Linked DNA regions of Tamandua tetradactyla. The main gene of each other region encodes a partner of the protein of the gene in region 4 in a complex. Links are inferred from orthologs where the notes say so. Each region holds a gene or a part of one and is shown on either strand. Other genes may lie near its edges. The genes, in order: KAT6A, JADE3, BRPF3 and ING5.

Evidence for each region.
Region 1: ING5 (region 4) and KAT6A share a complex: the UniProt entries of both Homo sapiens proteins name them as parts of the MOZ/MORF complex. The link is inferred for Tamandua tetradactyla from reciprocal best matches to the Homo sapiens genes ING5 and KAT6A.
Region 2: ING5 (region 4) and JADE3 share a complex: the UniProt entries of both Homo sapiens proteins name them as parts of the HBO1 complex. The link is inferred for Tamandua tetradactyla from reciprocal best matches to the Homo sapiens genes ING5 and JADE3.
Region 3: ING5 (region 4) and BRPF3 share a complex: the UniProt entries of both Homo sapiens proteins name them as parts of the MOZ/MORF complex. The link is inferred for Tamandua tetradactyla from reciprocal best matches to the Homo sapiens genes ING5 and BRPF3.

The regions. Positions count from the first base shown.
Region 1 is NC_135329.1:17,626,869-17,635,556, forward strand, and holds the start of KAT6A (histone acetyltransferase KAT6A), read right to left. Parts: upstream 3,406-8,688; 5' UTR 3,305-3,405; exon of another isoform or gene 3,162-3,304; intron 1,112-3,161; exon of another isoform or gene 1,022-1,111; intron 716-1,021; 5' UTR 392-715; coding exon 1-391. UniProt on the Homo sapiens protein: Histone acetyltransferase that acetylates lysine residues in histone H3 and histone H4 (in vitro). Component of the MOZ/MORF complex which has a histone H3 acetyltransferase activity. May act as a transcriptional coactivator for RUNX1 and RUNX2.
Region 2 is NC_135353.1:123,516,826-123,524,376, reverse strand, and holds the start of JADE3 (protein Jade-3), read left to right. Parts: upstream 1-4,329; 5' UTR 4,330-4,372; intron 4,373-4,477; exon of another isoform or gene 4,478-4,779; intron 4,780-7,551. UniProt on the Homo sapiens protein: Scaffold subunit of some HBO1 complexes, which have a histone H4 acetyltransferase activity.
Region 3 is NC_135331.1:92,936,641-92,944,242, reverse strand, and holds the start of BRPF3 (bromodomain and PHD finger-containing protein 3), read right to left. Parts: upstream 3,217-7,602; 5' UTR 2,801-3,216; intron 1-2,800. UniProt on the Homo sapiens protein: Scaffold subunit of various histone acetyltransferase (HAT) complexes, such as the MOZ/MORF and HBO1 complexes, which have a histone H3 acetyltransferase activity.
Region 4 is NC_135329.1:80,714,791-80,722,631, forward strand, and holds the start of ING5 (inhibitor of growth protein 5), read right to left. Parts: upstream 3,160-7,841; 5' UTR 3,112-3,159; coding exon 3,075-3,111; coding exon of another isoform or gene 3,036-3,074; exon of another isoform or gene 2,984-3,035; intron 527-2,983; coding exon 455-526; intron 1-454. UniProt on the Homo sapiens protein: Component of the HBO1 complex, which specifically mediates acetylation of histone H3 at 'Lys-14' (H3K14ac) and, to a lower extent, acetylation of histone H4. Component of the MOZ/MORF complex which has a histone H3 acetyltransferase activity.

The DNA.
Region 1 (8,688 bases), about 63 Mb from region 4:
CATCCTTCTGACCTTTCAAAAAACGTTCAATGCTTTTCAAAGTTGAGCCACCGGACTCTGCCAATCCCTCAACTGCCCGTTTGATCAGTTTATTCCAATCCACATTTTGCTTATTATCCAATTTTCCATGGTTTCGTGGTTTAGGAAGTGCTATTCGCCCAGGGTTATCAGGATCTTTATAGGAATTGAGTCCTTTATTTGAGACTTTTAAAATTGTTCCATCTTTAACACTCAACTCCAATTGTTCCAAAACAGTTTTACGATCCAAGCCATGGGATGAAGACACTGCATTGCATATCCTTTCCTCTGAAGGACGCTGTTTCTGCTTCTTCACTTTTTTGATGGCCTCCAAAATCCACTCCGTGTACAGCGGGTTAGCGAGTTTTACCATGGTGAAGGATTCTGTATATCCATAGAGTCGTTATCCCTTATCCTGATGCTGCGTAAATTTCACACCATGGAAAAAAAGATTCTCGGAGGCTGGGAACCAGTTAACCATAGCATACAAGTTTTCTGGCCTGACTCCTTTCTCCTTTCGCAAAACAGAATGCTTCCCTAGCTTTATTTCAGAAACCAAAACAACCTGTTATTTGATATGTCTTCACACTTCCAGTAAATTTCATAACAGCACCATACCAGGTTCTCTCCATAAAGTTGTAAGAACTCAGGAACACCTCAGTTCCAGCTTCACATTAGAAAAATGTGCATCTTATACCTGAAAAACAATTAAAATAAGGTCAGTTTTCTATCAAGACCTATTGTATACAAGCTATCACTGAAATATCCTACTCTTCTAAAACAGTAAAACAGCAAATGCTTACTGAGCACCTGTAGGAGTTTTAAAATGTTTCTATCAACATTCTAAAACAATCATGTATGTAAGCTATTGGAGTAAAAAGGAAAGGAAAGAAAATGAATAATTAGAATACAATGAAGAAACAAGATGAGATGTTCTTTGAAGGACCTTAGGCTCTGACTAACCAAAAAGGTGCTGGCTAGTCTCTAGGCAATCGCTGCTCACCAGTCTACGAATTTCAACTCCTCCTTGACATCTTTCCCCAAGAAGAAACTATTCAGCACTTGAATAGCAAATGGATTAGTAGAAAGAAACCTGCAAGGAAATAACAGAGAATCTTTCATCTTTCAAAACTCCAGATTTTCAGACTGGATAAAAACAGTCAGTAAGGTAGAAAAGCACATTGAAAAATATAACTATTTCATACATGAAAAGAAACAACAAATACAATTTACATAGACCAAGCTCATATTTTAAGTACAATATTACCTTAAATATTCCAAATGGAAACAAATTAACACTAAAAATAGCCAAGTGTGGAAAAATGCTTAAAGAATGCAAATTAATACAATTTCATCTAAATTTTAAGAACAGATGTTTAATGTTTTTTCTAACCCAAACTAAAATACTAACACCCATAAAATGGAAGGAGTGACAGTCAAATTGTTTCTAACCAATCTACAGATAGAGAAACTAGAAATGAGAAAGGCTGAGGGTCACTGAGGTCAAGTACACACACTACACATCAAATGTACAGTGCAGAAAAAATGTATTAGCTGTTGGCAAGTCTAAAGAGGAGATGGATCTCAAAGATTTGAATTCAAGATTGCTGACTGTAGTGCTGAAATGAACATTAATGAATGAAACACAAATATATAAGCAAGGATTGTCTCTTCAGGATCAAAGTGAATCTTCTTTCGTATACAAATACACAGATACAAATTTTATAAATAAACCAAAATAATGAATTCTGAATCTAAATAACTCCTATACTTTCAAAAAATAAATTTAACTTTTAATTTTTTTTAGAATTTCTGTTCTTCTCCAGGAGTATTTATATCACAACATAAACAAAGCTAGAAAAACGGCCCCCACAACAACCATTCTTAGGAGTGATATTAAAATCAAAAGAAAAAACGAATAAGCATTAGGAAAGATATAGTACTATTAACTCTGATGGGTAAGATGAGATTGACGCAAACATTCAAACCTGAGCCAAGACTTATTTTAAAATCAGCTGACTAAAAAGAAAACCCCTGAGAGAAATAAGCCTAATATTGGTGAGGGGCTCAAGAGGATAGAAATCATCGTAGTACTCCAAGAAAGTTCATTATGTAGACAGTAACGCTAAACTAGGTAAGAAGCTACAGCCTGAGCTTAAGAAGCCAGGAATGTCCTAATTGATTAAGGTAAAAAGAATGAATGACAGTTACTCATTGTCTCTCGGGCAGGGATCTTCGTCAGTGTTCAGGTCTTCAGAAAGTAAAGCGCCTGCAGACTTGAACATTAACTCTCTGAAAGTACACCAGCAGCTAGAGAAATCACAACTTGCTTCCGGAAGTCTTCCCCGGTCCCCATACCATATTCCCAAACACATCTTCGTGCTCTCTTTTTAAAAAGCTAGAAACTTTAAAAACTTGAAACGGCACAACCCTGCAGCTTGCCAACGGGTTGCTTCGCCATTCCATTAGATGGAAACAGAAACCGAAGAAGTTAACAATGAAATCACGTGAAGGAGTTAAGAGCAACATATCTCCCATTCCCAGCTGCTCCAAATACTAAGCTCCACGGAGCGCGGTTCAAAAGAGGCGTGAGGGGCACACAGGCTTCCCGGGGTGTCTGACAGGTCGGGCAGCTCCGGTCTAAACCGGCCGAGGGTAGACTGTCAGCGTGCCGCTTCCTCTCCCGGAGCGGGGCTGACAGCCCGACAGACACAACACCACACGTGCTGCCTCCTCCGCACCACAACACCCGCCAGCCTGTCACCCCCACTTGCCGCCTCAGCCCGCTCAGATCTCCGCGCACCGGACAGGAGACCTAAAACCAAGCGCCAGGGAGCGCGGGGAGAAGAGGCCGGACAGGGCCGGGGGCGAGCGGCCGGGAGCAGGTGGGGCCAGGGCGGTGGGCGCGTCCCCGAGGGAAACCGAGCTCCCCGTCACAGCCCAGCCCGAGGCTCCGCGGCCTGGGCCGCTCGCTGCCCGCTCACCCGCCAGCTCCCCCGGGCTGGGCCCGGTCGGCGGGAGGCGGGGGTGCTGGGCCCATGAGTGAGGGGCCGGCCGGCGGCGCGCGAGCCACAGAGCGGGGGGGAGCCCGGCGCCGGCTCGGCGCGAGGGGGCGGCCGCGGCGCCCCTGCCCGAGGCCTGGCGCAGAGCAGCGGGAGGCGGCGCAGGCCGCGGCTGGGCCTGCAGCGGCCCTCCGACCCCGCGAGGAAGCGAAGCGAGTCCCGGAGCGGCTCAGCCTCAGGATTGGCGGCCGGGGGTGGTCAGGAGTGGCTCCTCGGCTACTTACCGAGGAGGAGGAGAGCCGGGATCCCGAGGCCCCGAGCCAGACCGCGGAGATGCCCCAAACTGACACGACCGCCATCTTGGAGACAGTGAGCTCCGGCCGGGGGGAGGGGAGGCGAGGTGGCGGAACAGCCGCGGGGGGAGGGGAAGCGTCGCGAGGGAACGGCTGCCTGGGGGAGGGAGAGGGAACAGCCTGAGAGGGAGGTGCGGGGTCGGGGGGTGGCTAAAGGGAAGCGCGGGAGGGGGACGGTCGGGGAGCGGGAAGAGCTAGACCGTGAGCCGGGAAAGACCGGAGGGCGGGTGGGGCAAAAGGGAAGAGCCGGCCGGGTGGGTCACGTGGGGCTCATACAAAAGGCCAAAGCCAAAGTGGGAGGAGGACTTGATGGGGCTAGAGGCCAACAATTGGGGGCTCCTTCTCGTCTTTCTCACGCGTTTAGGTCAGGCGGATACCAGGGAAAAGAAGGAGATTGTTCATCCCCATTACACAGCTGAGGAAACTGAGGGCAGGCGTATGGGTGGGGTGGCTTCAGAATGGCACGGAAATCCGGTAGCCGGACAGGATAAGAACTCTTGGTGGCGTCTGATTTACAGTTAACAGATCTTCCCTCCCCAATCGGTGCTCCTACCCCACTTCCACAGTGACTCTCCCAGAACCTGAAGTTGGGGGGTAGGGGTGGGGGGCGGGAGAAATGAGGAAGCTGCTTCCTTCATCTTTTTGTTTCTGCTCACCCTGGACATCATCATCGCTGCTGGTAAGAAAGAGAATAGGCGCAATGGGGCGGGGGGAGGGGGTGGGGGGGGGAGCGGGGTAGGCGAGGCTGAACTTAGGCACCTATGTCAAGCGTTTTCACTACAGGACTTCACTTCATCCTCCCCCACAACAGCCGAAAGAGTCGTTAGCCTTTACTCGAGCCACTTTTATAGGAATAAGCACAGACTCAGGTCATGTGGCTTGCACAAGGTCACACACCCAGTAGAGAGACACATCTGAGTTTGGTGCCTAGTTCTGTCTTATTCCAAAACCAGCGTTCTGTTCATGCCCTGTGCAGAATTACTTCTGTCTAACATAAATTGGCACTTTTTTGTGGTCTCTCTGTCCTCTCATAGCTGCATGTGTTTCTTTGTCTTGACTCTCACCTAGATTTAAACTCCTTGAGGCGGAGATTGTCATACATTTTTTCTACATTCGCTAGAAAGACAGTGAATGACAAATGAAAAGATATAGTAAATGCTTACTGTTTTTATGTGGAAATATAGTCCTGCTACTGAACTGTTATCTGTTTTGTGCCCCTGCCTAGGCTGTCCTCCTTAACACCTATCACAGCCTTCCCTTTTAAACACCACCTTCTGACTCTGCCTTAACTTTGGTACTTACTTATTTTTCCAAACTTCTGGAGTATTGACCATTTATCCTATTAATTTGGCACTTGATGTATGACATATTCCCAGATCAATTAAAGGCTCTTATACCATGCCTCTTTGCATCTTCATTGCCTAGCCTGTTGTACAAATAATAGAAACTCAAAAATGAATGAACCTTTTTTAAACCACTAGGAGATGACATCACCATCCCCCTCAAGTCCTGTCTTGTTCATATACCAACCCATGCTTTGCTATCTGTTGCCCTTCTCCACTCAAGCCTTGTTGTTCTGTACCATAGACTGTCGAGACGATTCATTAGTAACAAAAAACTTAAATTTTCAAATAATGGTTTGGCTCACTCAATATTCTGACACTGAATCACCCTTCATGACCTACTTCCAAGCTCCATCCCCAAACTAGGGGAGAAATTTGGGAATCAAGATAATCTATTAGAAAGGATATCTTCCATACAGGTAAAATGGGGACCCCGTGTTAAAAACGCATCCAGAAAACAGCAAATTTTCATTTATGAGAGTAAGGCAAGCTATTATTTGAGGTCTCAGAGAAAATCATACTAATAGAAAAATGTGTTACTGGAGTGTGTTGTGTTCAGAAGAAAATACAGTTGTGCTTGCTCTGGGGTAATTTGGCAGAAAACCAGCCATATCCATCCCCAGTGAAAAGACCAGACTGGGATTTAAACACAGTACAGTAAGAATTTAAAACGATTTGCAATAACAAAGCACAGTTTAGCTTTTCAAACAGCTTTCTTAGAGAGTCTTTGCTTTACATTTGCATAACTAAATGGCACATTCTGGGGGTCTCCTCAAAATAAAAGGTTTAGAACACCAACAAATGAAAGTCCTCTTCCTTTGCAAGTTAGAAAACAATTTTCAGCTCCAAGAAGGCAGTTTTCCTTAGTTCAACCTTTATTCAGAATTCAGCCCTGGGGGGCAGCTAAATGTTATTCCTTTCTTCCACGTTTTGCTCTAGAAATTCCTGCCTTTCCAGATGCAGTTGATAATTGTTTTATCTATAGTCCAGCTCATCCCAAAATTGGAAGGTTAGTCTGACCAGGTTTTAATAGGAAAAGTTTTTGTCCATTTATATTTAATATACTTATTGCTGTATTTAGATTTATGTGTTCCATCCTATTATTTTTTCAAGTTGGCCCACCTCTTTTATCTCTTACTCTTTCTTGTCTTCTTTCAAATTCATTGAAGTATTTCGATTATATCACTAACCCCCTCATTAGCTTTTGAATTACATATTCTTTTAGTGGTTTTAGAGATTACAAAAAGCCTTTTTTTGACTCCTTACACTCTAATATAATATTACTTTTATGACTTACCAAAGAATACCTTAGAATACTTTGCCTCCATTTACCCCCTCCTTATGTGTTTATTGCTGTTATGCATTTTAATTGTGAATATATTTTAAGCTGTACAAGATATTGTAATTATTATTATTCTGTATTGTCGATCCATGTGAATATTTATTTTACCTACATATTTGCCATTTATGTTACTCTTCATTCCACTGTGTGCTTCTGTAACCGAGAAATCAGGATTTAAGGGATGGTTTTGGTTGGTGAATCGTTATATAAATATTCCTTTTTGCTTTCTGGAATATTGGAAAAGTCAGGGAAATTTCTGAAATCTCTGAATTGTAATCCAGCTGCTGCCTTGATCTCTGATAATGATTGTATAGCCTTTATCTTCTGCCCCTGTGATTGTAAAAACTTTGTGACTAACCTTCATTTGTACCTAAGTATCCAGGTTTTCAACTTTAGAGCCTTGTAATCACTAAAGCTAGCCCCTTATGATTGTTATTGGAGGGTCTTGGGTCCACCCGGAACTAACTCACCCCAAGTCCCAAATTATCTTGATGACCAAGACTAGATTTAACTTAAGTGGGCCCACCCAACTTGCGCAGTGGTTTAGATTTTGACCTACAAGTCACCTATACCCCATTCTGCCATTTTCTTTCATACACTCGGTGACTAGGCATATAATCAATCTGTACAGACTCAGTAATCAAATCACCTGTAATTACATCATCTGGGACACAGTACTCATTCTTCTAAACCCCGCCCACCTTTCTTCTAATAAAACTACCTGAATTGCTGCAGTTTGGGGAGACAGATTTTGGGCCATTAGGCCATCTGCTGTATTACTACACGTGTAGTAATAATCTCTTTCTCTCTTTGAAACCCTGGTGTCTCAGGAATTGGTTATTGAGAGCGTCAGGCAGAAGAATCCATGACCTTTGTCCGATACGTCTATCTAGAATCATTTTGTTTTTGTTTGAATACTTCTCTTTTGAGAGCAGGTCTACTCTTGACAAAATTCTCCTCATATGGGGAGGCATGGTAAAAGAGCCTTTAATTTATCTGGGAATATGTCATATACCAAGTGCCAAATTAATAGGATAAATGGTCAATACTCCAGAAGTTTGGAAAAATAAGTAAGTAAAAAAAGTTAAGGCAGAGTCAGAAGGTGATGTTTTGAAAGGAAGGCTGTGGTAGGGAAGTTTGTTTAAAAACTTCATTTTCTCCTTCATATTTTTGCTGGGGATAGCATTGTAGTTTGACAAGTTTTTTTTAGCACCTTAAAGTTGTCTTTCCACTGTCTTCTAGTTTCAGCAATCCTTTGTTACAACTTTAAAGATAATGGTTTTTGTTTCCTGTGGCTGCTTTTAAGATTTTTTTTCTTTGATTTTTGACAGTTTTACTAGGCTGTGTCTAGATTGGGTTTTCTTTGTGTTCAGTACACTTAGCTTCATGAACAAATGGCTATTACTCATGGGATCCCTTAAATTTGTGGCTTATCTTTTGTCTCTCTTTTTCTTCTAGGATTTAAATTATATATGTCAGAATTTTTCATTGTTCACCATGTGTATTTCCCATCATTTTTTTTGCTCCTTTTTTCTCTCTTGGTGTGTAAGTCTGTAGGTTTTCTATTCATCTGTCTAATCTGCTCTTAAACCCATTCTTAATTTTGGTCATTGTGTATTTAAATTCTACAGTTTTCATAGGATTTAAAGATATATCCAGTTCATTGGTGAAATGCTACATCTTTTTATTTATTTTCTCCATCTTTCCCTCTATTTTCTTGAGCATATCAGTCCTAGCTTTTTGTTTTGTTTTATTTTTCTTTTGTATGCTGTATGGCAGGGGTCACATTTCATTCTTTTTCCAATGGAGTATCCCCTCATTGCAGCAACGTTTCTTGAATTTTGTTTGTTTTGCTTGCTTGTTTGTTTGGGAAGTACATGGGCTAGGAATTGATCCCAGGTCTCCCACATGGCAGGCAAGAATTCTACCACTGAACTACCATCACACCTCCAGTCCTAGTAATTTAAAAGCCTTTTCTGGTAATTATAATATCTGGATCTCCTGTAAGTCTATTTCTATTATGTATACTCTCCCTTGATTTGTTTTTTTATTTTTTTATTATTTTTTTCTTTTATTATACTTTACCTTGATTTTTGATCATTATTTCCCTGTCTCGTGACCTGCCTGCGGCAATTTTTAATAGAATGCCACATATTAAGTATGAAAAACTGTAGAGAATCTAGATAATATTATCTTTATCTAGAGAGTGTTCACCTTTTCCTTTGCAAGGCAGTCAGAATGATAGTTGATTACCTTACTCAAGCAGAAAACTGAGCTACTTTGAGATTGGATTTCAGCAAGGCTTATTTATCTCTGTTTTGCCTCTAATCCTACAGCATGGGTTCCAACCTTGTGTGCTCCAGAGGCTTCACCCCAGTGGAAACTAAACTCTAAAACTTATTCCTTCAGCACCATGAGACCACCTGAAACTCCATTCTTCCTTTCAGATGACTCCATTCTGCCTTTCAGAGGTTTTCTGCTTGGCTTTTTAATCTTCTTCTGATGGATCATCAAAGTTTGGCAAGTGACTTGAGGGAAACTGGCAGAGTATTGGGCTCAGTTATTTACCCAGCCTTTCTAACTGGAAATCTGGCCCCTCTGCTCTTTAAGTTTGCTTTCTCTCTAACCCT
Region 2 (7,551 bases), on a different chromosome or scaffold from region 4:
TGGCTCCACTGGAGAACTCTACCAAAACATTTAAAGAATTGACACCAATTTGACATGATCTCTTCCAGAATATCAAAAAAGAGGGATCACTTCTGTGTCAGGGCCCCTAAAACCACCCCCAGGTTTAATGATTAACTAGGAGGACTCACAGGACTCAACACATGGCTATGGTTTATTACAGTGAAAGGATACAGAGCACTATTAGCAAAGGGAAAAGACACATGGGGTGAAGTCCAGAAGAAACCATTGACAATATTTCAAGAGTTGTCTCTCAGTGGAATCATGCAGGATGTACTTAATTCCTTCAGCAACAAGTTTTGACAACACATGTGAAATGTTGTCTACTATGGAAGCTTATTAGAGACACAGTGCCCCAGGTTCTTACTGGGGGTTGGTTATACAGGCACCCTCTGCCTAGCATTTACCAAAATTTCAGACTCCCAGAAGGAAAGCAGCCATTCAGCATAAACCATACTATTTGCACAAATAATTTAGGCACAGCGAGCCACTCTTATCCGTTCAGGGAATGGTGCAAACCCTCCTGAAATCCAAGTGCCCAGATACCAGCCAAGGGCCTGCTATGTGAACTCTTTTCTGTGCAACTTCCCAACTCATGTTATGAGGCCAGAATTATCTTAATACCAAAATCAGACCAAAATAGTACAGAAAACAAAAACAAAAACAGCCACAGACTTTTATTTCTCATGAACTTCGACATAAAAATCTGCAACAAAATATTAGCGATGTAGAAGTCAGCAAGGTATAAAAGGAATTACACAATGGCCAAGTGGGGTTTATTCTGGGTATGCAAGGTTGGTTCAAAAATCAATGTTCAATAAATGCTACCTACCATAGCCACAAGCTAAACAAGAAAAATTATATATGATTATATTGATAAATGCAGAAAAAGCTTTTGACAAATTTCAGCACTCATTCATGATAAAAACTCTCAGCATTCTAGGAATATTGGGTGCTTTCTCAACTTGATAAAGAGCATCTACAAAAATCCTACAGCTAATATCATATTTAATGGTGAAAGACTGAACGCTTTCCCCCTAAGATCAGGAGCAGGGCAAGGATGTCCACTCTCATCACTCTTATCCAACATAGTACAGAAAGTTATAGCCAGCATAATAAGGCAACAAAAGGAAACATAAGGCATACAGATTGAAAAGAAAGACATAAAACTGTCCCTATTTTCACAGACTACGATTGTCTAAGTAGAAAACGCCTACAACCAATAACTGAGTTCACCAAGATCATAGGATAAAAGAGTAATACAAAAAATTGAAAGCAATTCTATATACTAATAATGAACAAGGAACGTGAAGTTGAAATTAAAAACACAATATCATTTAAATTGTGCTAAAGAAAATGAAATACTTACATGTACACTTAACAAAACATGTACAGGTTCTGTATGTTGAAAATTCCAAAATGCTGATGAAAGAATTCAAAGATCTAAATAAATGGAGAGATATATCACATTCATGGATTCAAAGACTCAATATAGTAAAGAAGTCAGTTGCCCCCAAATTGATCTATAGGTTTAACACAGTTCCTAACAAAATCACAGAAAGATGTTTTGTAGGTATAGACAAGCTTTATCCAAAACTTATATGGATAGGCAAATGACCTTGAATGGCTAAAACAATTCTGAAAAGGAATAAAGTGGTGGGAATCATTCTACCTATATTAAGGCTTACTTTATAGCTATGCTATTCAAGACTCTGCTATTCACAGAGAGACAGACACATAGATCTGTGAAACAGAATAGAGAATGCAGAAATAGGCAAACACAAATATGCCCAGCTGATGTTTATAAAGGTACAAAAGAAATTCAATGGAGGAAAGATAGTAATTTTAACAAATGATATTGGAGTCATCAGACACCCACAGCTAAAAATGTGAACCTTGACCTTATGTTCACATTTTATTCAAAAATTAAATTTTAAAAATGAATCATGTAAAATGTAAAACTACACATAAGATAAAATCTTCCAGACTTGGGCTAGGCAAAGATTTCTTAGACTTGCTACCAAAAGTACAACGCATAAATGTAAAAATTGATAAATTGGACTTCATCAAAGTTAAAAACTTTTGGTCTGCAAAATACTTGTTGAAAGGATGAAAGGACCAGCTACACAGTGGGAAAAAATATTCACAAATCACTTATCTGACAGAAGATTTGTATTGAGGATATATAAAGAATTCTCAAAATGTAACAGTAAAAACCAAATAATCCAATTAGAAAATGGGCAAAAGGCACGAACAGACATTTTCTCAAAGAGGATATACAGATGCAAATAAACATAAATAAAGATGTTCAATATCATTAGCCATTAGGGAAATGCAATTTAAGACCACAATGAGATATCACTACACATCTATTAAATGGTTAAAATAAAAATATAGTGATAATATCAAATACTGACAAAGATGTAAAATAACTGGATCTCTAATGCATTGCTGGTAGAAATGTAAAATGGTACATCCAGTCTGGAAAATAATTTAGCAGCTTCTTATGCTAGTTTAACACTAAACATATAGCTACCATATTACCTAGCCATTACATCCTTGGGTATCACTAAATACATAGCTACCATATGACCTAGCTATTATATCCTTGGGTATATGCCCTGGAGAAATGGAAACTTAAGCTCACACAAAAACCTCTATATGAATGTTTATAGCAGCTTTATTCTTAATAGCCAAAAGTTGGAAACAACCTAAATGTCCTTCAAAGGATGAATGGTTAAACAAATTATGGTATATTCATAGTATGGAATATTACTCAGCAATAAAAATGAATGAACTACTGATATATGCAATAATTTGGGTGATCTCAAGTGACTATTGCTGAGGGACAACAACTAATCTTAAAAGTTTATATAGTGTATGATTCCATTTATGTAATGTTGTTCCATAGAGATGGAGAATATGTTATGGATTGCCAGGGGTTAGAAGGAGGGAAGAGGGTGACTGTGATTACGAAGGGACTGCAGGAGGAAACTTTGTGGTGGAGGGACAGTTGATTGTGGTGGTTATACGAATCTATATATGTGAGAACACATACATAGAACTATATACACAAATACAGAAATAAGTGCATGTAAAACTGGTGAAATCTGAATAAGTTCTTTGGATTGTACCAATGTCAATATCCTGGTTTTGATATTGTACTATAGTTATGTAAGATGTCACCATTGGGGGAAATTGGATAAAATGTTCAAAGGACCTCTGTGTAGTATTTTTTGCAACTTCCTGTAAATATGTAATTATTTCAAAATAAGTACAATAGAATGAGGTTAAGTCTGAAGTATTTTACAACTTACACTTTTGTATATCATGAAACACTTTTGTCTTTAATATGGAAAACAAACAAAATATCAAAGAGCCTATATTATTGTTTATCCTAGAAATGCAAATGGGAAAATGGCTATATGAGTTCATTGCAACTGCACATGGTATACTTCCAAACCCAGATAGGTAAATTTAAAAGATTGGTTGTTGAAACATCTGTATGTCTGCATTTAACCAGAGAAGCAAAAATACATAGGTTTTATATACAATGCATTAATGTTTTTATGTATAAATGTATGCATTTATTACAAACTATTGGCTCAAAGTATAGTGGGGGCTGATTAAGCAAATCCAAAATCTGTAGAGTAGTCCATCGGTCAGATAGGAGAGATCGTGAGCAGGCTAGAACCCACGGGCACAGGCCAAAGCTGTTCAGCATACGGCGGAATTTCTCTCCAATATTCTCTGAAATGTCAGCCTTGCTTTTAAGGCCTTCCAACTGATTCAGTCAGGCTCACCCAGATCATTCCGGATAATCTAACTTTAATTCGTCTGATTAAGTGCTTTAATTATATCTGCCAAATACCTTTACAATAACACCTAGATCAGTGTTGGAATGAATAATTTGAGGTTACAGTCTTGCCAAGCAGACACACAAAAAGCCACACAACACCATAAATCATTAGTGCCTGCAATGGGATAAATGAAGTCTGTTAACAGCCATTATGATTTTGTTATTATAGCTAATTAAAGTACAAATAACCTAAATCAATGGCGGCTGATCACGACTTTGAGCTATGAGAGTTCCACTTACAGAACTTTAGAGTTAGAAGGGGCCACAAAGAGTTTAGCTTGTATTTCAACACAGCCAAGTCACCTCCACCTCGTCCCCTCTGGCTTTTAGTCTGGCTGGAGCTCCTCCCCGAAGCAGCACGCCCAGCAGGAGGGGTGAAGAACCCACCTGAAGGACAAGTGTCGCGAGTGCAGGAGCGTTGGGTGGGCGGAGCTTTGAGACCCTCTGCGCAGGCGACGGCGCCCGCCCGCCAGAAGAGCGCGCGGCCAGGAGACGGTAGGGAGCCTGTTGGGGAGGGCAAGCGCGGCCGGTGGGGGGTGGGAGGAGGAAGGAAGGGGAAGAGGCGGAGCGTGGGAGCGCACAGTGTCAGGAATACAATAGTGCTGCGCGCCGCCTCGGCCGCCGCCACCGTCGCCCAACCGCAAGCTGCCCAGCGCTGAGGCCTGACGGGCCGGGTTGACGAGGGCCGAGGGCGGGAGTTGAGTTGCGGGGGGCTGGCCCTAGCGGATCAGGCGGCCGGGGCTGAGGGGCGGGGGTAGGGAGGGATTGGGGGCAGGTGCGAGGGAGGAGAGAGAAGAAAGCAAGCGGGTAGGGGGGCGGTTACCATCCCTACCAGACTCGCCCGGCACATTGCCGGGCCCTACCGTGGAGACGGGAAGGAGCCGCGACCCCGCTGAGCGAAGGTAGGCGCCACCGAGGCCAGCTGCGGGGCTAGCAGGGTTGCGGGGCGTCGCGCCGACAGAGGGAGCGGTGGCCTCAGGGAGTCGCAGCGGGCGGCGCGGGCGCAACGTCCCAGCCCTGCCTCGCTACGTTTCGGGCCGCTTCGGCCCCACACCGCAGTCCCCTCCCGCGTGCCCGGCGCCCTCGCCCGAGAGCGTGAGTGGGCAGAGTTGGATTCCCGGAGGTCTTTCCCGGGCTAGGCAGTGCCTGGTGGCCCGCGCGGGGGACGCGGAGGGCGGACGCTCGAGGTCGGCAGCCTGTCTTGGCTCCAACCGGGCAGGAATTGAGCGCCATAACTATTGCGGCTGTTTTCTCAGGTGCTTCTTCCCGGTGCTTCCCCGCCCCGGTCCTCTGCTGGGTTTTGAGGTTTGCGGGGTCAAATCCGCGGCTGCACGGATCTGCTCCGCGGGCCGCCTGGGGCGGGATGCTCTGAGGAGAGAGGGCGTGCCCTGGCTGGTTAGATACTGAGGTGAATGTGGGGGGCGGGAAGAACCGAATGCCTAGAGAGGGGAAGACCAGTGGTGCCGGGGAGCAGCGAGGCCGCTGGTGGGCCCCAGTGCCCACCGAGCGCGAGGGCGGGCACCCCGCGGGCTCGCGAACTTTCCCTCCCCCTCAGGTCATTGTTCGGACGCTGCCAGTCGGCTGCCGCCGAGTGCTGGGCGGTCGTGGGAATGGGAAAATCCTGAGGGCTTTCCAACTCTTACCAGAAATTTCTCCCTTGTCTGGGCACGGCAAAGTTAACTTTTTTCTTAAGCCATCAACTTGGTTTTAGTCCCTACGCCTTGGGGGCAATCTGTGTATGTGTGTGTAGAGATAGATTGATTTGGCTCTCTCCAGTCTTTTTCTCCTGCTTTTCAAAAACGCTGCTTCGGGAAGTCTGACTTTAAATTGCACAGGATAACCTGCGTTTATTATTTGTGAGGAGGAAAAAGGGGCGGGATCTCGAATGAGTGACCACTGGTGGTTCTGTGAAGGCCTGTTTAAAAGTTGATATCGTCGGGTAGCCCTGGGGCATGTAGCTCCTAGGCAAGAAACTTGTTTAGTGGGAGCTACTCTGACATTTTAAGTTGAAAGGAAATCCATGGTCTCAGGTATGCGTGAGATTTTGTTATTATTTTTATTGTGAGATCCGTTTATGAAGCTGAAGCTGAGGCTGAGATCCGCCCCCGCCCTCATTGTAAAACCGTGTTGATGATGATTCCAGTGGCCAGGAGGGAAAAGTGATCTCATTCCCTGTACTCAGTCTGATACAGATAGCTGTCTGCTTCTCTGTAAACTCTTGAAATTAATGAAAAATAATTTAGGTAAAAAATGATTGCACAACATCTTGGCTTAGTTTAAGCAGCCTGAGAATCCACTTTCTCAGAGTAGTTAGGTCTTAAATATCTTCCCTGCAGCCACTTCTTGTCAGCCGGGAAAGGGGAGAGTTGTTAAGAGAGGAGTCCGCCTGAGTAAAGTATTGGAGTTTTTATTTAGTTTAATACTTTAATAAGATCTGTAAACAATGGAAATGTGAATCCCAGCTTTTGCACCCCTTGAATATTGTAGTTCTCATGCTTTTGTAGCATCATGTGATTACTCTGCGTAAGTGAGAATAGGTGCGTTTTTAAAGTTTTTTTTAGCCCAGGACTATTCAACCTTCGTGACATATTTTCTTTCTCATTTAAAATGGGGTCTAAGCTTAAATACTTAAACTGTAAAAGATTAATACATCTCTTCAAGGGGTGAGAGGATTACATGAGATCTTAGGGAAGCACTTCTTAAAGCCCAGCACGTATTAAGTTCTCAATCAAATGTTAGCTACCATCATTGCCACATTCTCTACAACTGTGATCTTCATAGTTTTGTTTGCTAAATAGAAGAGCCTTTAATGCAATATTGTCACCTTGAAATAGTTCCTTCATGCTCTGTCCAATGAATTCTGGAATACTCAGGGGTGCAGCTCTGGTTCTAGAATTCATGCTTTCTTTCTCCCCATTTTTGTGAGTCATGTTGCAGTGTCTTGGCAATGTGAAATAAATGCCTTCTTGATCACAGGTAGGGGAAAGTGGAGAAACGGCTTCCCAGCTCCTCCCTGAAGTGTTGGTGATGAGCTGAGAGCCAGCAGTGACTTGGAAGCAACCTTGGGGAAGCCTCTGATGACCTTCTATAGAGGAGATTAACCCTGTGGACTGTAGAGGACGTTATCAGGAACAGGACAGGTGATGGTGCAGGGCTTTCATCATAGTCGAGAAGTGTGGGTTGGCAAGAGTTAAAATACAAAGCAAAGGATGTTGAAATGGGAGGCTTGTAGACTGAGCATGATCCACTGCTTATCTTTTCCCTCCCTTGTGTTGTACCAACTATAAAGACCCATTTCTTTCCTAAGCTACACAAAGCTATCTCTTCTTTTTGTCCATTACTATGAGGTCTGGTTGGAACTGGGCATGCATTTTTTGAGGAGAGATGGAGGTGGCAAAAGGGGTCGGATGTTCTTGAAACCATGGCATTACAAAAGACCCTTAAAAGTCTTATTCCAGGGTGCAGAGATAAGGGCCAAAAAGGAGATTGAACATTATCATAGGGCATAATCCATGTACCTCCTCATGGAGCTAACATGACATGGTAGCTGAGGAAGATAAAGGTCATATACTGAATTACACATTAAGAAACTCTCTTATTAGGGGATAATTTACTATAACCTTTACTAGGTGAGGAGTGGGTATTATGTGACACCTATTTGGAGCTTTCCTGAA
Region 3 (7,602 bases), on a different chromosome or scaffold from region 4:
CCATCTGGTTGATTGGCCACCAAGAGGTCTGGCTGTTCCCTCTGTCTGGACAACCTGCCCGTCAGGTATCTACAAGACTTGCTCCTTCACATCCTTCAAGTCTTTTCACAAACATCGCTTCTCAGAGACTTTCCTTGACATCTCGATTTAAAATTGCAAACCCCCCCCCTCATTCTCCCCATTGCCAGCTACCTATCTTTCATCGTGTTTTATATCCCAAGTGTCTGGAATGGTACCTGACTTAGAAGTGAGCACCAAGTATTTGTTGAATGAAAGGAAAAATCAAACACGTGATCCCTGCCCTTAAGGTGCTGAGTTAAGGACAGAGAAGTAAACAGATCATTACATGTGACATGGGTAGAAATCTAATGTTCTAATGTAACCTAATGTAATGATGTACATAAGGCTGTGGGACAACTAACTCTGGAAAAGGAGGGCTGTTTAAGGCTTCAAAAAAAGGAGAAAGCAACAGCTACCACTTTCAAGCTCTGTACATGAATAGGGGAACTCACAGGTCTAGACCGTCCAGCAACCCATCTTACCATGATCAGAAACCCTATATCCCAAAACCATGCCCAGGGATGAAGTTCATCTCTGAAATATTTATCATATATGGTCTAAGGGCTTCAAAATTACTGTGTGCAGGGTTTTTCCTGCAAAAGCCAGCACTCAGGTCATACTGGCCAGTACTTTTCTAAACAGAAATCCTCGAAGCTCTGTGAGGGGCCCCAAGAGATTCCTGAAGTCATAAATGGTCTGTCTGGGACCCTCACTGGTGCCAAGGCCAAGGAAATCACAAGTGTCAGAGGTAAACTTTCAGGGCATCTTGTACCCTCAAAAGTCCTTCTCTTCTAAAATACTTATATCATGGCTACCCTTGAGCAACAAAGAGAAAGCCTTAAAGTTTCCCGTATCATTTTCTGGATAGAACTATGACAAGCTCTAGGAAACTGTATTAGGCAGTTACTGATGCTATTACTAATAGAACATTTGGGATTACGCTGCCCCAAGGTATGAGTAGACACTTGGATGAGTATAAACAGAGAGAGAATTTCAAGGAGAAAAACAGTTCACATTTTGGTTGCAAGATCTATCATCTTTATCTAGAAAGTACAGACAGTAGTAATTTAGCACACTTTTACACACTACAAAGCCTTTTCATATTTATTATTTCTCACAACCAGCTTGGGAAGGAAAAGAGATATTATCGTCTCCATTTCACAGAAGAAGAAACAGAAGTTCAGAAAGGCTTCACTCAATAGAAAGCTATTAAGTGATAAAGCTATAATATAAACCCAGATCATCTGATCTGCTCCACTCATCTCACTGGGAGGTAAAAATGCTCCAGAAATGTCATAGTCTGGAATCAAGAGAGGTCCTGGGCAATCTAAATTCTAATCTTGGGCCCTATGTGACCTGGAGAAAGTCACTTTCTTTATGTCTCCAAACTCCAGTAGTAGCATAAGAGTTATAGAACTTAACTTTTAAGGATTGATATTTGCTAGTAAAGCATTATTAACATCCTTATTTAAGAAGTCTTCCAGTTACAAAGTGTGCCTGAGACAAACTAAGTAACTTTGCCAAGGAATAGTGCCAAGAAGGCATGCTGCAGGATGAGCCAAAGGAAACAATCACCACAGCAATTCTGTCCTGGTTCCAGAGCCCTTGGCTACCAGAAGCCTTTACAAATGCCAAGTCCTTGGGGACAGCCTGGTGGCAACCCACCCTCACCACCAAAGGCTTGGAGACCCTAACAGAGGTATGAAAATCTACTTCAGTCCTCAAAGTAAACAGTTTGGAGAGAGGGTGTAGGCCCTCCCTTCATCAAAACCACTCTGTCTTCCTCCTCCTCACTGACTACACCCTTGGCAGTTCAGGTATCTCTCAACCTGGTATCTCTGGAGACCTTTCCATTCCAATATCCGAGCCACTAGACAGTGGGGAGTAAACCCTGGAAGGGAAAAGGCTGCTGCTGAGGAAAATGAAATGAGGTCTCGCCCTCAGGAAGCTTACAGTCTAGACGGATTTTTTTGGCGGGAGTTTCTCATCCAACGCAGCCCTTCTCACAAATACACCCCCGAAAAAATCTCCAACCACCCCCGGCACGCACCCCCTGCCCCACTCGCCAACCCCACCGGGGAAAAGTCTCCGAGGATAGAGGAATTTCTGCAACTAGACTGTAACCCGACACCCCACACAAGATACTCGTGGGACAAGAGAAGACCCGGGCCAAGATCCTGCCCCTTTAAGGGGACATCTCTTCCAGAAGAATCTTGACCCCCAGGAGGAGAAAGGAGGGAAATAACATCTCCACCCCAAAAGGGAGGAGGCGAACGCGCCAGAGACAGACTGACGCGAAGTCCGACCCGCAGATACAGAAAGAGAGCGCCAGCGAACCAGCCGGGAAGAGAAGCGGGCGCCCATTGGCCACCGCACCTGCCCGTCAGGGAAACCCGGGGAGGGGGCCAAGGGACGTGCTGCGGGTGGAACTCTACTCTAGCTTGGCCAATTGGAGAGCATGAGGGGGGCGGGGCTCGGTGGCTCGGCTTCCAGGGCCGGTGGGGAAACAAGATGGCGGCTGCAGGAGGGGGTCTCCGCTTCTCAGCTCTCCCCTCACCCGCCTTTCCCTTCCCCGTCGCCGCCCCCGCTCCGGAGAGGGCCTCTGCGCCGCTTCTGCCACGATCGGGAAGCTCCCCGCTTATCCGGTCTCCCGATCCCCGCCACGCCGCACAGTCCCTGGTTCCGAAGGCCCCGTTGCCCCCGCCCCCGCGCAGTCCGGCCTCGCTGCCGCCCCTATTACCTCAGTCGCCGGCCCAGCTCCACTGCTCGGGGCCCCAGGGTGCGGGCGGGTCGGCCGCTGAGCTGGTCGGCGCGGCCCGGAGAGCGGAGAGCGGTGCGCGGCCTCCTCCCGCGCCAGCCCCCGCCGTGTCCCCGCCCGGCCCGCACTGGGGCCCCGGCCCGGCCGCTGCTCCCGGGGGAGGAGGGGGAATGGAGCTGCCACCACCACCGCCGCTGCCGCCACGGAGCCCGGAGCCCGGTGGAGGGGAGGGAGGGATCAGCCCCCAGGCAGGATCCGCCCCTCCGGCCTCCCCCCGCCACCTCCACCCCTTCCCTCGCTCCCTCCCTGGCTCCGCCGGCTCTCCCGCTGCACTGGAGCGAGAGCGCGAAAGAGGGGGGAAACGGGGAAAAAAATCCCCCCGCCCATGCCCGGCGCGGCGGCGGCCGGGGCGGCGCGGAGAGAAGCGTGGAGCCGCCGCCGCCGCCGCCGCCACCGCCACGGGGCACCGTCCCCCGCTCGGCCTCACGGTGGCGGTGCGGACGCGGCGGGGGCACCGAGCGGAGACCGGGTATACGCCGGCAGCTGCCGGGAGTCACCCCGGCCGTGGCCCCGCGGGGCGAGCCCGGCGAGAGAACTGGGGACGTTCCAGTCTAGTTGGGAAAGACAAGAGTTTCTGCCTATTAAAATGGGGTTCAGTCGTCTCCTCCCCCGTCTTTGCGGGGGTAATGATTAAGGTTTTGGACAGAAAACCCCCTCCCCGAGCGGGAGTATACCCCCCCGAAAGGTTAAGCCGCTGGGATTATTGAAGGAGAAACCGGTCTTAGTTTCTTGGGGTGCAGGTGCCTGCACTGCTCCCAGAAGGTCGTCGTTCACCACACACACACACACACACACACACACACACACACACACACACTCCCCAAGCCCAGGTCCCGAGGACAAAGGTCTAGCGATGTCCATCCCCTCCCCCAGTGAGGACAGCCGGGGAAGACCCGCCTCTGTTGTGTACAGGTGAGCGTCTCATTCCTCCCAAGCCATCTTAAGGAACAGACTAGACTTTTCCTTGTATGCCGTCCTCTCCCTTCTGCGTTTAAACTGAGTAAACCTAAAAGTTTGACGGTCTACTTAAGGACGTCTGGTAACTCATTTATCATTCTAGGTATGGGAAACGCGACTCTTAAACCTGATTTGGCTGAGAGTCGGTTAATTAAATGCACTAGGCGGCTTTCTAAAGCATGCTTGACAAATGGCAACTACAGACTTTCAGCTGTAATCAAACTGGCTTTTGTTCTGATAAAAATAAATTGAAGAGAAAAAGGCCCTTTTGCTTACCCCTTTTTACCTATAAATTGGAACGCTTACCTTGTATGACTGAAGTCTTAAGCACCAATATTTAATGATGTTTATAAAGGATGTAGGGATAGGCTGCCTTTAAATGTGAAGATGAATGACATATTTTGAAAGCGTTTCCTCTGTCGGCTCTGGTGGTGTAGCTTGAGACAATTTCTTGCTTGGTTCTGATAACCAAGGACATTTGTTATTGTCAGGAGGATGAAGGGTGAAGTCTTAAGATCCAAGCACTGTTTTCCAAATATTTTAACTGAACATAGCGCCACTTTTGAAGTATAGATGTCCTTTATCCTAAGGAATTAAATATACAGGGTTTTGCACTTAAACGTTAGATAAAAATAAGGAAGCCAATTTATGTTACAAAGAATTTTCAGGTTAGCTTCATAGTACGTTTTAGCAAAATGATAATATAAAAATATTTCTATTAACCAGTTTTAAAAAAGAAAGAAAGAAAGGGGAGGGGCTTGTGGAGCTAAGCTCGCTCTTGCTCCAGTGCAGCGGGAGAACCTGCGGAGCCAAAGGGGAGCTAGGGCAGTGTTTTGAGAGTTGTGAAGATGAAGTAGTATGAATTAAATTCAACTGTTTTAAGGCCAGGGGGAATAATCATTTGGTGGGAAGGTATGAAAGAAGAAATGTTCAACTGTGGAAGGGAAAGCCCCGGAGGCAAGAAAAGTATCGCAATTACTTTTAGTTAAGAAAAAATAATCTGATAACTAACAAAAACAAAAATACTGAATTTCTTGTTCTTTTAAAATATGGAAACAGTATCCACTTATTCATATGACTAACTTTTATTTCTTGATGGATATTCAAAATTGATTTAGCACAACTCCCATTTATGTGATTGAAAGCTATCTTTTCTCACTAAAATGAATAAATGAGTACCTTGAGAATATGCATTGGTTTCCACTTGAAACATGAGAGTAATGATTTTAATGCTGTTGAAATGCATTAAGACAATCTAATGCATATGATTTTAGGTTTTTCTATTCAGAAGCTTTCTTATTAAGACGATATTCAGCCTAAGTGTTTCTATTTGCTATTCAACTTCCATTTTTTTAATGGTAACATTAGTTGTCTTCACTTTCGTTTTTGACATTTGCAATTGGTTATTATTAGTGTAACTGCACACACAACCAATTTGCTATGATGTAATCTTAAATGTAACATGTAACAATTATATCATTGAAAACAAATTTGAAATGTGTATCAGAAATCCCAGAGGCACTAAATTTAATTCACTTTCATCATTAGCTTTTAAAGACTTTAAATACATCAACCCTGGCCTTCAATTAGGCCATACAGCAATTAAGTTCAATGAATAGGGGCGGGGTCTTTGATTCTAAATGCTAGTCTTTAAAGTGCTGTCTCTTTTGAAATAGAAATTAACATCAGGAGAATGTTTTATCATTTAAGACTAAAAGAGTGAACGTGAGTACAAAAGGTACACCCACACCCCCATGTTTTTTAGCATCTCGGACATCTTTGTCAACATTTTACTATTATTCTTAAAAATTTTGTTTACCGAGGCAAGAACATTCTTCAGGGTTATGTTCAATATCCACTGATTTAAATAAAAATAGACTTTGACTGATTGTTAAATTATTTTTAATAGACTATTCCTCATTTAGACCTTGGGTAAAAGAATTCTAGAACCACAGGTTGGGAAGAATGTGGAAATTGGAATCATTGTGATATGGTGTAATGAAAATGGTTTAAGAATACGAAGTTTGCTTAGAAAAAGAAAAAAGTTTAGTTAGGCTAACAACAGATTTTAAATAGAGCACCACATTCTCTAAATTAAATTCCATTCATTTATTCCTATAATAGACATTTATTAAGCACCTACTATGTATCCAACGCTCATCAAGACTCTGGAAAATAATGACAAAATCAACGTAGAAAAGGTCTAGTGATCATATATAAAGGTAAGGAAATCGTGGGCTTTGTCTTGAGTAGACTGTAATCAAAAAGTAAGCTAGATTAAAACACAAGATATCAAAATCTGTGGGATGCAGCAAAGGCAGTGCTAAGAGGGAAATTTATTGCCCTAAAAGCCTATATCAAAAAAGAAGAAAGAGCAAAAATCACAGAATTAACTGTCCACTTGGAAGAACTAGAAAAAGAACAGCAAACTAACCCCAAAACAAGCAAAAGGAAAGAAATAATGAAGATTAGAGCAGAAATAAATGAAATTCAGAACATGAAAACAATTGAGAAAATCAACAAAACCAGAAGTTGGTTCTATGAGAAAATCAATAAGATTGATGGACCCTTAGCGAGGTTGACAAAATGAAGAAAGAGGATGCAAATAAATAAAATCAGAAATGGAAGAGGAGACATAACCACTGACCCTGCAGAAATAAAGGAAATAATGAGAGGATACTATAAACAACTTTATGCTAATAAACTTGGCAATGTAGATGAAATGAACAACTTCTTAGAAAGGCATGAACAACCAACATTGACTCGAAATAGACAACCTCAACAAACCGATCACAAGTAAAGAAATTGAATCAGTCATTAAGAAGCTCCCCCAAAAGAAAAGTCCAGGACCAGATGGCTTCCCATGTGAATTCTACCAAATGTTCAAGATAGAATTAGTACAATCCTGCTCAAACTCTTAAAAAAAATTGAAGAGAAGGGAAAGCTACCTAACTCATTCTATGAAGCCAACATCACCCTCATACCAAAGCCAGACAAAGATACTACAGGAAAAGAAAACTACAGCCCAATCTCTCTAATGAATATAGGTGCAAAAATTCTCAACAAAATTCTTGATAATCAAATCTAGCAGCACATTAAAAGAATTATATACCATGACCAAGTAGGATTCATCCCAGGTATGCAAAGATGGTTCAACATAAGAAAATCAATTAATGTAATACATCATATTAACAAATCAAAGCAGAAAAACCACATTATCATCTCGATTGATGCAGAAAAGGCATTTAACAAAATTCAACATCCTTTCTTGTTGAAAACACTTCAAAGGATAGGAATAGAAGGGAACTTCCTCAACATGATAAAGGGCATATATAAAAAACCTACAGCTAACATCATCCTCAATGGGGAAAAACTGAAAACTTTCCCCCTAAGATCAGGAACAAGACAAGGATGTGCACTATCACCATTGTTATTCAACATTGCATTGGAAGTTCTAGCCAGAGCAATTAGACAAGAAAAAGAAATACAAGGCATCAGAATTGGAAGAAGTGAAACTCACTGTTTGCAGATAATATGATGCTATATGTCGAAAACCCTGAAAAATCCACAGCAAAACTACTAGAGCTAATAAATGGTACAGCAAAGTGGCAGGTTACAAAATCAACACTCAATAATCTGTAGTGATTTTATACACTAGTAATGAACAATCTGAGGGGGAAATCAAGAAAAAAATTCCATTTACAATTGCAACCAAAAGAATAAAATATTTAGGAATAAATTTAAAGATACAATATTTAAGAATAAAT
Region 4 (7,841 bases):
TACACCTTGAGACTGGGAGAAATGCAAGAGGAGGCTGATAGGAGTGCCTGGGGGCTGAAAGGGGTGGACATAGGAACAGGAGGTATTGGTCTTCCATAGTATAAATGAACAGATGAAGTTTAAAACCAAAAGGGAAAAAAATAAAGAAATAACAGCAAATATACGTTGTTCAGAAATAGGGAAATCCTATCTAGCTTTGCACACCATGCACATGTAGTTAAAAAACAGAAATTCTTTTAAGAGGAAAGCTAAAAGTAACAAAAGTATTTTGAATGGAAAAGAGCATTTATAGTAAGAGTTATAGTAAGGATCCAAGAAGCTAAATTTGATGACAATTGAATGAGAACTCTGTAGGATACTGGAATACAGCCCCAGCTTGGGGCTCTGCGGCAGACCTGGCCATCTCCCCCAGATGCCCCTCCTAGAACCAGAGCTGGCTTCCAAACGTGCCCACCTTCTGTCCTCTGGTCCAGCTCTCGCATCAGCTGGAAGTTCCTCTGAAGTTCACAGGGAAGGTTCTCGATACCTGAAACACAAAGGCATCAGGCTCTGTGGAATTTATGAGAATAGGACAAAGCTTTGCCTTCAAGGTTTTATATCAAATTCAACAAATAAAAAACTCATTTTCTGTTTCTGTTGGGGCTTGGGAGGGGAGAGGGCTAAAATCTCTTTATTCAGGGTTGGGTACCAAACAACGCTGTCAACAGGCTGCCCACTTCAGGAAGGGAGGAGGTGGAGGTATGCTGTGAAACAGCTGCAAGTAGGACAGGGAAGGAGGCCCAGGGTGGGCAGACATGCCGACTGAGACCCCATCGCCCCCTGGCCACATGCTCACTGTCTAGACAGCAGCACAAGTCCTGCACATGGCAGGAAGCAATCAGCATTGTCCTCTTCCCACAAACAAAACAAAAGGGAGGATTGGGGAGGTCACAGGGCTCTCAGTGGATCCCAACCCAGCCCACCAACCCCACAGCTAGTGCCAGCTGTAGCACGTGCCCTGCCTCTGAGGACAGAGGCACCCCCTGTAAGGCAGAGGCGCACTGGGTTCCGCTGGAGCAGAATGGAACGGCTTGAGAACGCTCCTCTGGCTCATAAGAAAGACTCCTCTCTGAAATCTTTTCTTGGAAAGAGTTGAATCACTTTGGTTCCTAATCAATATAGCTTGAAGGAACAAATAATGCCAGAAAACAAGGCAATTACTAGCAGCAAACTATCTGCAGTTCATGAGGATCTGAAAAACAATAAAAATACTAGTGTTCAGCACAAACTGGAGAGAAGTTCAGACGAAGGGCAAAGCAAGTGCAAAAAAGAGGGGGTGGCGTTAGCTGGATGTGAACAGGGCACAGAGGCTCATCCTCCAGGCCATCTTCATCTTCTACCTCACTGGCCAGAGCCAGATCCCTCTTGGAAGGCCCCTCAAGTACCCGAGATTCCACAGTTCATTCCCCCAACATTTGAACTCATTTCAACACAAATTCTTAATAAGTCCCAGGCACATGGGGGGGAAGGTGGTAATGAGAAAAAGAAATCCCTGCCTCCCCAGGACAGTGTCCATTTCCAACTCTGGTGAATTAACATGGTACTTTCAGTCTGTGATGGCTAGTAAGCAGAGCTCTGGGCAAGTAGGCAGGTTGGGGTCACTCTCCCTGAAAGACAGGTGCTCTGATGCTCTGAGGCTGTGGGATGCAGGCAAGTTACATAATCTTTCTGTGCCTCAACTTCCTCACCTGCAAAGTGGGGATAATGGCGGGACCCTCTGAAGGGTATGGGTGGGTTAAAGATGGCCCATGGGAACTGGACTTCAGTGTTACTCAGTTTTAACCAAAGTTATATTGGAGCCTGCAGCCTTCAACTGCTATACTGAAGGGCCCCATACCACAATGCTGCCCTGGGCCCCACACCACACTCCTGGTCAGAACCCCAGCGAGCCCCTCCCATCCACTCTCCAAAGCCAACCAAGTGAATCCCCAGTCCACCCCGCTCAGGCCCAGGATCTGCTGGGCTGCACCCTCCATCCTACCAGGGCTTTGCCTCTGCCACCTTGCAGGACAGTAATGACCCTGTGCTCTTCACCTACCGCGCTCCTTGTCGCCCTTAGGCTTCTGTGACCCTTCTACAAATCCACCTTCCCCATTAGCTGGTGAATTCCATGGAAGTGGAAGTCATGTCTGCAGTCCTGGCACACCAGCCCCAGTGCCCCTCCTCCTCCTTCCTGGGTACCCACGACGTTGGGGAAACACCTCTACTCCACCACCTCCTTGACTTGGCTTTCCCACCAACCCATGCACCTCTGCTCGGGCCAGAATGGGGCCACCATGCCCTCACTGCCTAGGATCCGGTGCGCCACCAGCATCCTGCGCCCAGGGAGGTGACTTGGGGAGCTGGCCCGGGGAGGTGACCCAGAGAGGTGATCCAGTGAGAAGGTCCGGGAAGGGCACCGCAGACCCGCCCACTCCGGAGCTCCGGATTCACACACCGGGTCCGCCAGCTGGGCTCGGGCGGGTCCCTGCACCTCTCCAGGCCTCGGTTTCCTCGTATGCAACCTGGGAGAGTCGCCATCGACTCAAGTTTCCCCGTGGAGCAAGCCTGTGGTCACATGTAAGGCAAAGGGAGCCGCTCCGGACACGGGCACCGGGGAGAGGCTGAGGGCGTCAGCCCAGGCCAGCGGGGGGACCCGGCCACCGAACGGCCCCCAGCTCAGCAGACCACCCCCTCCCGAGAGGTAGCAACTGAGGCTCGGCGCTGGGAGCCCGCTCTGGTACCAGCTAAGACCAGCGCGTCCGGCTGGGAGGGGGCGCGCGGCCGGGGCGGAGGCGTGGGTGGCCCTGCCCCGCCCTCGGCCCCGCCCCTCCGTGACGCACCTCGAAATCGCCCGGAGCCCGCGCCGCGTTCAGGGCCGCGCCCGCCCCGCCCCGCCTCCCGCCCGCGCGCGCGCGCGCTCGTCGAGCGTCGCCCCGCCAGCCCCCGGCCGCCCTCACTAATCTCCGGCCGCGGCGCGCAGAAGCTACGCGCGAGGAAGCCAGGCGGCAGCGGTCATGCAGCGGCCGGGCCCGGGAGGCGGGGCGGGTGCTTACTGTCCAGGTAGTGCTCCAAGTACATGGCGGTCGCCATCTTCCTCCGCGGCCGCGCTGGGGCTCTGCGCGCGGTCGGCGCGGGTTGCGAGGCGAGGGGCGGGGCCGGCCCGCATCTCATTCACTATTCATAGACCGCGGGCACTGATTGGGGCGCGGGCCGCCGGGGCGGGGCGTAAGTAGGGCCCGCCCCCCAGCTTCCGCTCGGCGCCCTGCGGGTGTGCGCCGCCCCGGGTCTGGGCCTCCGCCGGGTGGGCCGCAGCGCCGGAGGGCGTATGGGCGTAGAGGCACAGTTGGCGTGCGGAGGCCTCAGGGGCTGGGAAGGGAACGGTGGCCATTCTCGCGGTTCTAAGCTCGAGGCACCCGGTGTGCACCTCCAGCCTGCACCTGTTCGCGGCCGACCCCTACTCTGGTCATCTGGGCTAACACGTGCAGGCTCTCGGCCCCCGAGGTGTCGGTGAATCCTGTCTGTCATTCCCAACCCCACCCCACCGTCTTGTCGCACCGCAGTCTTTCCTGCCGACCCAGAACTGGAGGAGGAGCCGAGGGCGGACGGCCACCTACGAGCCAGGGAGAACTGCCTGTACCTCCCATCTCTGGTCTTGCCGCTCCGATCGAACTACTTGGGCCTCTGCTTCTTCCCTTAAACTTGCAGAGGATGTGACCCACCCCTCCTCACCCCTCCACTGGCAGTAGCTGCCCCCACAGCATCAGCCTTGGCATCTAATAGACCCACTGTCCAGTCCACTTTGGGGTCCCTTGAGCAGTACCTGTCACGTGGAAAGTGTTGAGAGTATGACTGAATGCAGCCTTTGTAACGATATGATTCAGTGTTAAAGGAATGAAAGAGCGTGAAAAGGTGTATCCTGAAGTGGATGTAAGAGTGCTGGAGGAGAGTAAAAAATGGGTTTAGAAGGTGCAATTCGGGATGATGCTTCCCTTCTGTGTCCAGACTCTGATGTCCTAGCTGCTGGTGCGCCCCTGGACCCAGGTTCCTCCACTCCCTGCCGCCCCAGCCTGGCCTCCCTAGCTGATTTTTAGGCAGAGGACTACCCTTGGGTGATGTGGCCACTTCCAGGGCCAGCCCCTATTCAGATAATTTCTCCTCGCTCAGAAGTTAGCCCAAGGTAGAGATTGCCCAGGATGTTCCCAGCCCTGAGGGGACAGATGACTTATAGCCAGAACTAGCCTGAGCCCCAGGTCCCTTCCCACAGTCCACATGAGTTGCTGAGGCTGTGGGTCACCCAAATTATCATAACCTGACAGATGCAGATGTCATGATTTTGTCATTTAAAACCTATTCCTAAAGGTAGGCCCCCCTTTGTGAACTGTTCCGCAAACTGCAGGCAAATACTGCAACAGATACATACACGTTCTATTGCCAATTTTCATTCATTATTTCCTACCTCCTGAGGGTGCAGGACTGTGACTGTCTTGCTCATCTTAGAATCTAAATGATTGCAGTTTGGGGAGCACCCGTCCAGGCCCCATTTAATGCTTGCACAAAGAAACACACGCATGCACATGGATTTTTAATGTGATCGCACACTACCCATATTTCTACTACTCGCTTTTATAACTTAATACTCTGACCATGAACTTCTGGCCCCCAAACCTTAATTCTGTCTCATCCTGATTACTGGATAAATTTTACTGTGTTGATGTATCAAACTGTGTTTAACAAACTCCTCACTAATATGGTAATGATTTGACTCTTTCCAGTTCTTCATTATGATAAATAATGCCCTGGTGAACATCCTCATGCATATGTTCCTGTATGTATCCTTCTGTTCTAGGTGTGTATTGTTGCGTAACAAAGTACCTAAGAATTCAGTGCTTTAAAACAACCGTCTCTCAGGAATTCCAGCAGGGCCAGCTGGGTGATTCTTTTGTTCTGTGACCTGACAGAGACCACCAGCTTCCTTTGGGATCCTGGTGCATTGGCAGGGTTGAAAGGCAGGGTTCAGCTGGGACTTTGGGTGCTAACACAAGGGCTGGTCCTGCTGTGGGCATGGGGGCAGAAGGCAGCAGGACCCCCCCAGGGAGGTGCGTGTTCGTACCGCAATGTGGTCTGCCTTAAACACGAGGTGCTGGCTGCCCACACAACCAGGTCACGTGCATTTGGACACCAGCAGGGGCCTGCAGGGGCTGCTACCTCAGCTCAGAAGAAGCCACAGGGCAGAAAACGACACACCAGTGCTGCTGAGGTAAGGGCTGCTGCTGAGGTAACTTGGGGGTTGGCAAGTTATGATGGGTAGCAATGTCTATCTGAAGCTTGTGTAAGAGCAACCTCCAGAGTAGCCTCGACTCTTTATTTGAACTCTCTCAGCCACTGATACCTTATTTGTTACGCTTCTTTTCCCCCTTTTAGTCAGGATGGCTAAATTGCTCACAACTGGTTGCTCAGACCATGGCTGGAGCAAGAGGTGGGCCTAGAGAAGGCAAAGTGGGCACAAGGGCAACCCCACGAAATGATAGGGGTGCTAGGGAGGGCTTCCTGGTAAACTGGGGTGTGGCTGGAGGCAGGTGAAAGTCAACTGGCCATGAGTGTATAATTGCCGAAGCTGGCTGATGGCCACACAGGGTTCACTAGGTTCTTCTCTCTACGTTTGTTTGAAGTTTTCCATTAAAAAAGAAAGTTAAAGGAGCAGTAACATCCAGTCGTTGGTCCTTTGCTGACATTTCCATCTCACAGGAATTGTGTCAGACTTTGCTAGCTATCCATTGAATCTCACCTGCTGCCCTGAGGACCCCACTTCCCAGCCCCTGTGCAAGTAGAGTGGCCACCAGTGGCATGGGACAGAAGTGGGTATCCTCTGCACAGTCGCCCTCAGACAGCAGGTTTGTGTCTTCCTTGATGCACTCCCCCACTTCACTACTCCCCACCTGGCCACGCCAACTACGGTGAGGCCCCTGGGTGGAAACGACCAAAGAAGGATTCTGATTCCTTGGGTGACCCCATGGAGCAGGTTGCACACCGACCAGGAATGCCACAGAAGAGAGAATTAAAACCCTGCCTTTACTAAGTGGGATTTCTACATTACAGAGGCTTAGGTTACCCCAAAGTGGTGGTCCTTAAAGGGAGGCTGGAAATGTCTGGAGATGTTTTGATGATCCCAGCTCTACGCAGTGGGTAGGGGCCAAGGAAGCTGCTAAACTTCTCTCAGGGCACAGGACACCCCACCCCACAGAAGCATCCCACTCGAAATGCCAACTTCAGGATGAGCTCCCAAGCAAATTGGGATATGGTGCAATGCCCATGGTGGTGGTGCGGAGTGCTGAAAAGAGGAAGGAGCTGGGCCACCAGGGTCTTGGGTCTTGAGTAGCTGGGGTGCAGGGAATATCCTTTGGTTGCAAGAATTTGCTCAAACTAGCACAAGTAAGTGATTTGCCTCCAACTGTACCTTCGCCCAGCTGGTCACCCCTCTTTGATCAGTTAGCATGCCTTTAGCTGCAAGTACCAGAAAACCAGCTGTGGCTCCAATCGTCACATAAAATGGTCTCACATAATAAGAAACTTAGAGTGAGAGTAGAACCACTTCTGCCAGTTGGTGCTGTCAAGTGTTGAGGTTGTTGCAGTTCCGTTGGCTTTTCCGGATTGCCGGGTGGCTGCAGTACTGCCTGGCACCCAGTTCTTATGTCCTCGTCCTGACGTGGGTGTAGGAGTCCCTTTGTGGGGGACACTCAGCCTCCTTTGTGCTTTTGCTTTGCTTTGGCAATTAAATCTCAGACCTGATGCTCAGCAGCCTGGAGCTGTAGAGGTAAAGGGCTATGAGTGTCGCCTTTCGCAGGACTCAAACTTGAGAACTTGCTGTGCTGGTCCTGCCTTTTTCTTTGTGTAAGACATGAAAAGTGGTTAGCCGAAGCCGGCCACCTCCACATCCCCATAATCGTTGTATTCTCCACACAACTCAGGTGTTTAACTGCTTCACCCTCCATGCCGCATCCCAAACCACCCCCAGCGAGAGGCCATGGAACCATGAGGCTGCCAGGGTGCCTGGGTTAGCACTGCCCGTCACCACCAGCAAAGGGGTCTGTGTTGTCGTGTCACTGGGGAGGGGGCCTGTCCCAGATCCCAACCTTGAGAGGCTGCTTTCCTGATGCCAACTGTTTCTCCAGATTCACCCAGAAAGCAGAACCTGGACCATGCCTGCAGGCAGGGGGCTCATTTTGGAAAGTGATCCCTGGGAGTGGGAGTGAAGATGAGGTCTGGGGCAAGTGGAGCAGAGAAGGAGGAAAGCCGTTACTGGGCCTGCTCCTTCAGTGATGCCCCTGAAGATGCCACACCCCAATCCCTAGAACCTAGGGATATCACCTTACATGGGGTGTGTGTGGTGGTGGTGGTGGGGGTTGACTAAGGACCGTTAGGTGGGTGGTTGTCCTGGGTGGTCTGGACAGGGCTGTCTGGGCCCCTGCCTAACCTGAGAGTTATCTTCCTTGTACTTATCCTTTTCAGGTCAGTCAGATGGGCATTTTAGAAAAAGAGGCAAAAATCAGACAAAGGGATATCCCTTTTATTTTTTTTACCTAGTAAGACAATACCAAGCAGTAGTCGTATCAGTCAGCGTTCACTTGTTTGTGCTGCAGTAACAGAGGATTCCAAAATCTCAGTGACATGCAATCACAAAGGTTTCTTCTTGCTCCTGTTACTTATCAGCTACAATGGCTGCAGCTCAGCTGTGGCTCCATTTTATGGTTTTCTTCATTTCAGGACCCAGGGAGAAAGAACAGCCCTATTGTGTGCCTGCTGTTCTCATGCTGGGGGTGGAG